Linked DNA regions of Drosophila melanogaster. Each later gene encodes a partner of the first gene's protein in a complex. Each region holds a gene or a part of one and is shown in the gene's direction. Other genes may lie near its edges. The genes, in order: ND-13B and ND-30.

Region 1 (3,495 bases):
TTCAAAGCATTTGTGTCCCTGAAGCTTATCGTTTTTTTTGTGTTCGAAGTTACTGAACAGTTGTAAAACATATTGCAAGTACATAATCCTACAGATAAAAACTACTTAGCATATAATTGCATTAATCAAAACTTGCACAGAACAGAAGCTGTGCGCCGTTTGGCTAAATGAATTTGCATTTTGAGACAACAATGGATTTGCAAGCAAAGTTGTTAATATTCCGGAAATGATTTTATTGAAATTTTACAGGAAAATATCAGCAAACACAGCTATGGCGGTGCAATCGACGGACGGACACGTAATACTCTTCGAGTGCCCAGAGCAGGTTCGTATGCCAACTTATTCGTTTATCTTCAAAAAGAAACAAAAAGTTAGAACATTTTTCTGTGCTTGTCTATGTTTTTTAATTGTGCTTGTGACTAATGCTGCTTAAAACCGCGCTCTTTAAACTATTTGGGTAAATCACAATTGATGGTGTAAGTAGCTTAAGCTGGTGGTAATCGATTTTAAGTGACTTAATAATTTGCTTCATTTGTAGTTCCCGAAACCGATGATGATGACAACGACGATCGTCCCTTTGTTAAAGATGGCAATGATAATCCCGGCGTGGATGACGGTCTTTTTTCAACTGTTGGAGGCAACGGAGGCAACGGCGGCAATGTGAATGTAAACGTTCCCAATGGAGGAAGACGACCCAGTTTCTCCTTTCCGGGATACAATGGACCCGGTTTTGTGACGATCAACGGCGTGGAGACACCCATACCCGATGTGAATGCATATCAGCACAAGAAGACCCTGGCTCAGGGAATGATGGACCTGGCACTTCTCTCCGCGAATGCAAATCAATTGCGTTATGTTCTGGAGACGAGCTCACAACATCCTTACTTTTATCCCAGTCTGCTGTTCATCTCACTCAGCATTATATTCCAGGTAAATTTCTATAGGTGCAAATAATGCATATATTTGTAAAATCAAGCTTAAATATCCAATGAACGCAAGATTTGATAAGTAAATTCCACACATGTATAACTTACATTTCTAAACTATCAGAATATTCTTAAGATGATAAGAAAATTCATTAAAAACAAATATATACAAAGTAATCAAAGGTTTTAGCCCATTTATTGTAGTATAAAAACAAAGTAGTTTATCTTAACCAGATTTCACTGTTTTGCTTAATAACCATATTTTTGATGACACACACTCATAATTTCTTTGTCATTTCAGATTGCTGTGGGCGTGGGCCTTATATTGAATGGCCAGTATAACATCAAAAACGGTCACGATATCTGCCGGGCGAACAGGATCAATAATTATACAGTTAGCGGCATTTTTATAGTCACTGTGGTCAATGTTCTAATATCAGCCTTTACTGTGGACAGAGATACTGTGCCTGCTTTACCCGCCAATACAACATAGTTTAACTTGTATTTTAAATAGACTTTAGTATTATGAACACACAGATGCATCTTTAGATAATACTCACATTGTTCAAACCTTGTTAAATTTCACTCAGCGACTCATTTTTCTAAACGCAACAATGAATTGTGATAAATAAAATCCCACGAGCATTTCTCGCTTATTTAAATAACTGAAATGCTGTTTTTCTTACTTTTGGGCGTTTTAAGTAAGAAATGAATAAACTTTCTTAAATGTTATAAGATACGTTCACATTAATATTAAATACTTATAAACCAGTTGTTCTTTGGATATTCTTTGTTATTAATATTAAATTCTAATAACTCAAATGCAATTCTATTTATACTATTTAAATCAATTTTTGGCGCCAAACTATCGTTTAGTTGCGATAGTTTACGTAGTGGCATTTCACAGCACTGTGTTATAGCCTCGACACTTCACAGCACTGGGCAACAGCTGTTACAAAATAAAGTCGTGCGGAAAATTAAGCATTTTCGGCTAAAAGTCTATTGCAAACATGGCCAAGATCATTAAGGCGGTAAGTTCAAGGAACTCAAGTGAAGCACCTGCTCGAGAACCTACAAAAGAGAAATGACCGACTAATCCCCGCTTGAGTTTCGCGGCGTTTCTTCAATTGTTATTGTTATGTCATCGCTTCCTTCTGCAGTCCACAGGTTTGACTGGACTCGCCGTGTCCACCAATCCACACCACACGCTGAGTGCTCTGTATGGCAAGATTCTGCGGGCGGTGTCCAAGATGCCACAGGACGCCAGCTACCGCAAGTACACGGAGCAACTGGTCAAGCAGCGCGCCGATTCTGTGGCCCAAGTAAGATTATTTGGAAACTTTGCTAATTTGGGTTTACCAAGTGGATGGTACCTTCATCAAAGCATATGTAGCACCTATATAGACCGTGCAACCAAGATACAGATCCTTACACTTGTTATTTGTATTAAAGACTGTTATTTTCTTGATCATCCTCCAATTTCCTTTTTTTTAATACAATCTCTAACTTTCTCACCCGCAGCACAAGGACATCACTGCCCTGGAAAAGGCCGTCGGTTGCGGTCAAGTGGAGGAGCTAATTGTCCAGGCCGAGAACGAGCTGATCCTTGCGCGCAAAATGCTCGGCTGGAAGCCCTGGGAGAAGTTGGTCCAAGCCGCGCCTGCCAAGCAGTGGGACTGGCCACCAGCCCAGATCATGGAGCCCAAGGTTTAGATTCACACTTAGTACTAATTAATCTACAGCAAATCGAAATGAGAAGAGAGCAATAAATCCGTTGATAAGCCAGTGGCTTTATCAGCTAAAAAATAATTGAGCTTTAATCAAATGAATAAACCTGGAACAGCACCACAAGATCAGCCACATTCAAGCAATCGATCCACTGACGATCTCAGTTCGTTTTCAACATGCGTGCGCTTCAGTACCTTCTGCTACTGCTCGTCATCTCCATCGGCTTGGCGGCATCGGTGCCTCGCCAGCGTCGTCAGATCGATCTCACGGTTTCGGCGGAGCACGACGACAACGATGAGGAGACGGAACTGGCTCTGGAGGCCATCGCCGGGCTATGGAGCAGTGCGGACAGTCGGACGAAGATCGATGGCTCTGCCAGCCTGGTGCATCGAACACATGGAACACAATCGGGTACGGGCAGCACCAGATACCAGGCCAAACTGCATCTACACCATGACTATAAGACCAATGCGTATCCCTCGTAATCCAAGGTTCGGAGCAGGACTTTCGCGTGGGCGTGCGTATTACATTCGACAAATAGAGCCGTGAGAATTCCAGACATCAGCAGGCGGGCGGCCGGGGACAAAATCGAGCGATTGCGTGAGGAGACAGACGGCCACTGTATAAACAATCCCACTGACGATAGATAACATTTTGACCTTCTCGGGCTTGGCTTTGTTGGAAATATATATAGAACGTTTGTGAAAATACAATATACCCGCATAATGTTCGCTTTATTGATTCCATTTTAATCGCCCTCTCCGGTTTTCTCGACCGTGAAGCGGCGCGCAACAAATTTCAGCTTAAAATTACAACTAGAACAACGAATTTGCACAACAAT
Region 2 (3,533 bases), 7.5 Mb from region 1:
GACACGAAGTTGGGCAGGCGTCCCTGGGCGGACAGACGAACCTTGTGTCTGTGCAACGTGGACATGGGGATTTGCAACTCACTGCTGATGCTCTTTAAAGAATGTCCATTCTTCAGTCGCTCGTAGGCCTCTTGCAGGGATGGTCGTTCCCGATTGTTTCGCATGTAGGCGGGATTAGTGCGCACGCGTCTCCAGAGGACTGTCTTGGAGATATCAAACCGGTCGGCGGCCTTTTGTAGGCTTAAGCCCTCGATGATAACCGCGTCGGCCGCCAGATCCAAAGCATCGTTGATATCGTCTTTTACCTCACGTTTCAGAGCTGCGAACTGCTGGATTCGCGTTGGCTTGCAATCGGACAATCGTTTGACAGCCTTCGCACTTATGGGGCGACGGATTCGCGTCTTTCCCCCGCCCAACTTGCGGGGCTTATCGTCTATTTCCTCGTCCACAAGTTGGTCGTGCACGTCGTCATCGTCGTCCATTTCAGTACCAGCTTCTAGTTCCATAAGAGGATCGGCTTGCGCGAACTCCTCGTCGATCATTTGTGATTCGTGCTCCTCAGAATCCTCAGCAAGGTCCGCATCCACGTCATCATCGCCCAGGTCCACTTCAGCGCCACTGGTACCCGTTTCATCTGCCTCAATTTTGGACAAACTCGATGCTGACTGCGTTATGGTGAAAGTGCCCGTGTTCTCGGTGAGTATAAATTGGTTGCCGCTGGAACTTCCGTCCATGTGCTCGATGGAGTAGGTGATCTTCGGCGGCTCGTAGACATCAATGTACTCCAATGACCGACTGGAATGGCTGGGCTGGTGTTGAGAACCCGCGAGTGTAGTGGCTGGGACGGAGACCATCGGATGTGGCTCTTCCTCGTCGTCCAGCAGCTCGGCCTCAGCGATTTGGAGTCCTGTAATGGACTTGGCCGACTCCACGGCTAACGAATGGTTCTCTACATCGACACTGGGTGGACTAGCCGATGGATTGCACTCAAAGCTGATGGCAGATTTGATGCCGAGGAGGTTAATGGCCTCCAGGAACTCGGGGAGCGACGCGGAGGGCAGGCTAGTCTCGCCCATGTAAATGAAGGACAGCATGCACTCCAGCAAATCTCCGCGGATGTCGGGCAGCATTATGGTTGCCTCCTGGCCGCGCGGAACGTCCACCAGGAGGTTGCGCATCAGTTCGCTGCAAGTGCTTAGCACGAATAGATGGGCGCGCACTCGAACGCCGTCCCTGGAGGCCAGCACCACCTCGCAGTGCTGATTATCATTACGCAGCGAGCGCTGGATGTCCATTATCGTGGATGAGTGGCCCATCCACTTAAGATGATTCTGCAAACGGCGACGATTGTAGATTTAAATTTCACTTATCCCGGGGATTTGGGAGGACGCGTTTCACTTACCATCTTGTTGTGTTTTGATTTCCAATTGATTTCCAAGAAGTTTTCAATTCTCGCAATTCCAAACGCAACGCGTTGTCACAGTTTTCAGCCAGGGTAGTCGAATGCACCTAAGATCTCGGTATTTCGGTATGTTTTCCATGAGATGTACTTCAAGGAACGTGTTGGTATTTTTAATGAAATAATAAATGAAGTAGTAGGGTACATTTCTTTTTTTTAAAAATCATTTAACCAAATATTCTAGAAAAGTTTTGTGGTTGGTAATGAAGAATAATTGTAAATGTTTTCCATCTGCTGTACTTCAAGGAACGTGTTGGTATTTTTAATTAAATAATAAATCAAGTAGTAGGGTATATTTATTTTTTATATAAATCATTTAAGCAAATATTCCAAAAAAATGTTGAGGTTTTTAATGAAGAATAATTCGGTGTTAACGTACACGAAATACAATAATGTATGTGCGGTATTTGTGTTGTACCGAAATTGTCAAAATACCGAAGTAGGGCTGTCGAGTAGATTAATTTGGCGCACTGACAACCCTAGGCTCCAACAACTATATTGACATTTTAGCATTACATAAATTGTCAAAAACGGAGCAAATTGTTGAATTTATATTGAACAGTTTGTAGAATGGCGGCCTTAATCAGGAATCTGGGTGCCCGTGCCGCAGTCGCCGCTCTGTCGGCCAAACATGGTTGGTAAATGCCTTGCCTCTAGAGCTTCAACTGATCTATTCTAACCCTTCAACAATCAGTGGTGCCCGCTGCTGGATCCACTGCTCTTCGGATGGCCAGTACAACGCCAGTGGAGCCTAAGAAGGCGGATAAGCGTAGGTAAAAGTCGACTTTATCGCGGTGTCAATTACATGTAAGACATTCCACCCACAGCCACTGTCCGCCAGCCGGACGCAGTCGCTCGCTCGCATCTCTCCGATTTCGGGCGCTATGTGGCCGAGTGCCTGCCCAAGTACGTGCAGAAGGTGCAGCTGACCGCCGGCGATGAGCTGGAGGTGCTTATTGCGCCAGAGGGCGTGGTGCCCGTGCTGCAGTTCCTTAAGGATCATCATCAGGCGCAGTTTACCAACCTGGTTGACATTGCCGGCGTGGATGTGCCCTGTCGCAAGAACCGATTCGAGGTGGTCTACAATTTGCTCTCGCTGCGCTACAATTCGCGCATCCGCGTTAAGACCTACACCGATGAGCTGACTCCTCTGGACTCCGCCTGCGAGGTGCATAAGGCGGCCAACTGGTACGAACGTGAGATCTGGGACATGTACGGCGTGTTCTTTGCCAACCATCCCGACTTGCGCCGCATCCTGACCGATTACGGTTTTGAGGGACATCCCCAGCGCCGCGACTTCCCGCTGTCCGGCTACGTAGAGCTGCGCTACGATGATGAGAAGAAGCGAGTCGTCTGCGAGCCCTTGGAGTTGGCCCAGGAGTTCAGGAAGTTTGACTTGTCGGCGCCTTGGGAACAGTTCCCCAACTTCCGCAACGCTAATCCCCCCGCCGAGGTAGTTCCGCCACAGGCTCCAGCCAAGAAGTAATCCGAAGTCGGTTTGTTAAATGGTAATTAGATCAATAAAACGTGATCACTATGAGATGTTTAAACATAATGGAAACGACGGTCTACTTAGCTATTTAGCTTTCTTGGCTCGTTCCTAAACTACTTCCACATGAAAACGCAATTCGTATCAAACCAGAGGGTCACAAGTATTTATTGATTTCCGTATTGTTTACATACATGGTAGTTTACACTGAGAATTAAACGAATTCGCCGGATCTAGCACATCCGAAAACCTCCTCGAGGGCCATGTGCATATACGTACATACATACATAGATATAAAACGTTAAGTAAAACAAGTGTGGGCCACTAGACAATTCGTGCGCCTGCGCAGCGGTGCCCGGCGAAAGTACAGGTGCAAGGACGTACTTAAGTTTAGGCCGGAGCGGATTGGGGTAGTGGTAGTGATAGTTGTACTTGGTGAAAACCTTATCGTAATTCGAGCTTCGAGCTGCACCGTCGTCAACGTTTTATTTTTGTTAGATTTTAGTTCGGTTTTTTTTTTGTACAAGAACATACACATATAGTACATAGATACACACACATAAACATATTATTACATTTAGCGAT

The links.
Region 2: the proteins of ND-13B (region 1) and ND-30 are in contact, whole or in part, in a cryo-EM structure (PDB 8ESW), measured with the Drosophila melanogaster proteins. Residues at the interface, in NP_648409.1 of Drosophila melanogaster: Tyr28 (codon at 2,147), Ser43 (codon at 2,192), Tyr44 (codon at 2,195), Tyr47 (codon at 2,204), Thr48 (codon at 2,207), Leu51 (codon at 2,216), Arg55 (codon at 2,228), Cys74 (codon at 2,484), Gly75 (codon at 2,487), Glu79 (codon at 2,499), Gln83 (codon at 2,511), Ala84 (codon at 2,514), Asn86 (codon at 2,520), Glu87 (codon at 2,523), Ile89 (codon at 2,529), Leu90 (codon at 2,532), Lys93 (codon at 2,541), Met94 (codon at 2,544), Trp97 (codon at 2,553), Lys98 (codon at 2,556), Pro99 (codon at 2,559), Trp100 (codon at 2,562), Glu101 (codon at 2,565), Lys102 (codon at 2,568), Leu103 (codon at 2,571), Val104 (codon at 2,574), Gln105 (codon at 2,577), Ala106 (codon at 2,580), Ala107 (codon at 2,583), Pro108 (codon at 2,586); in NP_647775.1 of Drosophila melanogaster: Tyr66 (codon at 2,343), Glu69 (codon at 2,352), Cys70 (codon at 2,355), Leu71 (codon at 2,358), Pro72 (codon at 2,361), Lys73 (codon at 2,364), Tyr74 (codon at 2,367), Val75 (codon at 2,370), Gln76 (codon at 2,373), Lys77 (codon at 2,376), Leu89 (codon at 2,412), Ile90 (codon at 2,415), Ala91 (codon at 2,418), Pro92 (codon at 2,421), Glu93 (codon at 2,424), Val96 (codon at 2,433), Pro97 (codon at 2,436), Gln100 (codon at 2,445), Phe101 (codon at 2,448), Asp104 (codon at 2,457), His105 (codon at 2,460), His106 (codon at 2,463), Gln107 (codon at 2,466), Gln109 (codon at 2,472), Val119 (codon at 2,502), Val121 (codon at 2,508), Cys123 (codon at 2,514), Arg124 (codon at 2,517), Asn126 (codon at 2,523), Glu129 (codon at 2,532).

What each region holds. Positions count from the first base shown.
Region 1 is NT_037436.4:10,692,459-10,695,953, reverse strand, and holds ND-13B (NADH dehydrogenase (ubiquinone) 13 kDa B subunit), read left to right. Parts: upstream 1-1,845; 5' UTR 1,846-1,936; coding exon 1,937-1,957; intron 1,958-2,086; coding exon 2,087-2,248; intron 2,249-2,447; coding exon 2,448-2,639; 3' UTR 2,640-2,770; downstream 2,771-3,495. Other genes in the region: NijA (ninjurin A), read left to right, coding at 250-325, 539-930, 1,228-1,419; CG33493 (uncharacterized protein), read left to right, coding at 2,831-3,139.
Region 2 is NT_037436.4:3,157,969-3,161,501, reverse strand, and holds ND-30 (NADH dehydrogenase (ubiquinone) 30 kDa subunit), read left to right. Parts: upstream 1-1,923; 5' UTR 1,924-2,029; coding exon 2,030-2,093; intron 2,094-2,153; coding exon 2,154-2,228; intron 2,229-2,286; coding exon 2,287-2,945; 3' UTR 2,946-3,017; downstream 3,018-3,533. Other genes in the region: CG15812 (uncharacterized protein), read right to left, coding at 1-1,331, 1,403-1,405. UniProt on the Drosophila melanogaster protein: Core subunit of the mitochondrial membrane respiratory chain NADH dehydrogenase (Complex I) that is believed to belong to the minimal assembly required for catalysis. Complex I functions in the transfer of electrons from NADH to the respiratory chain.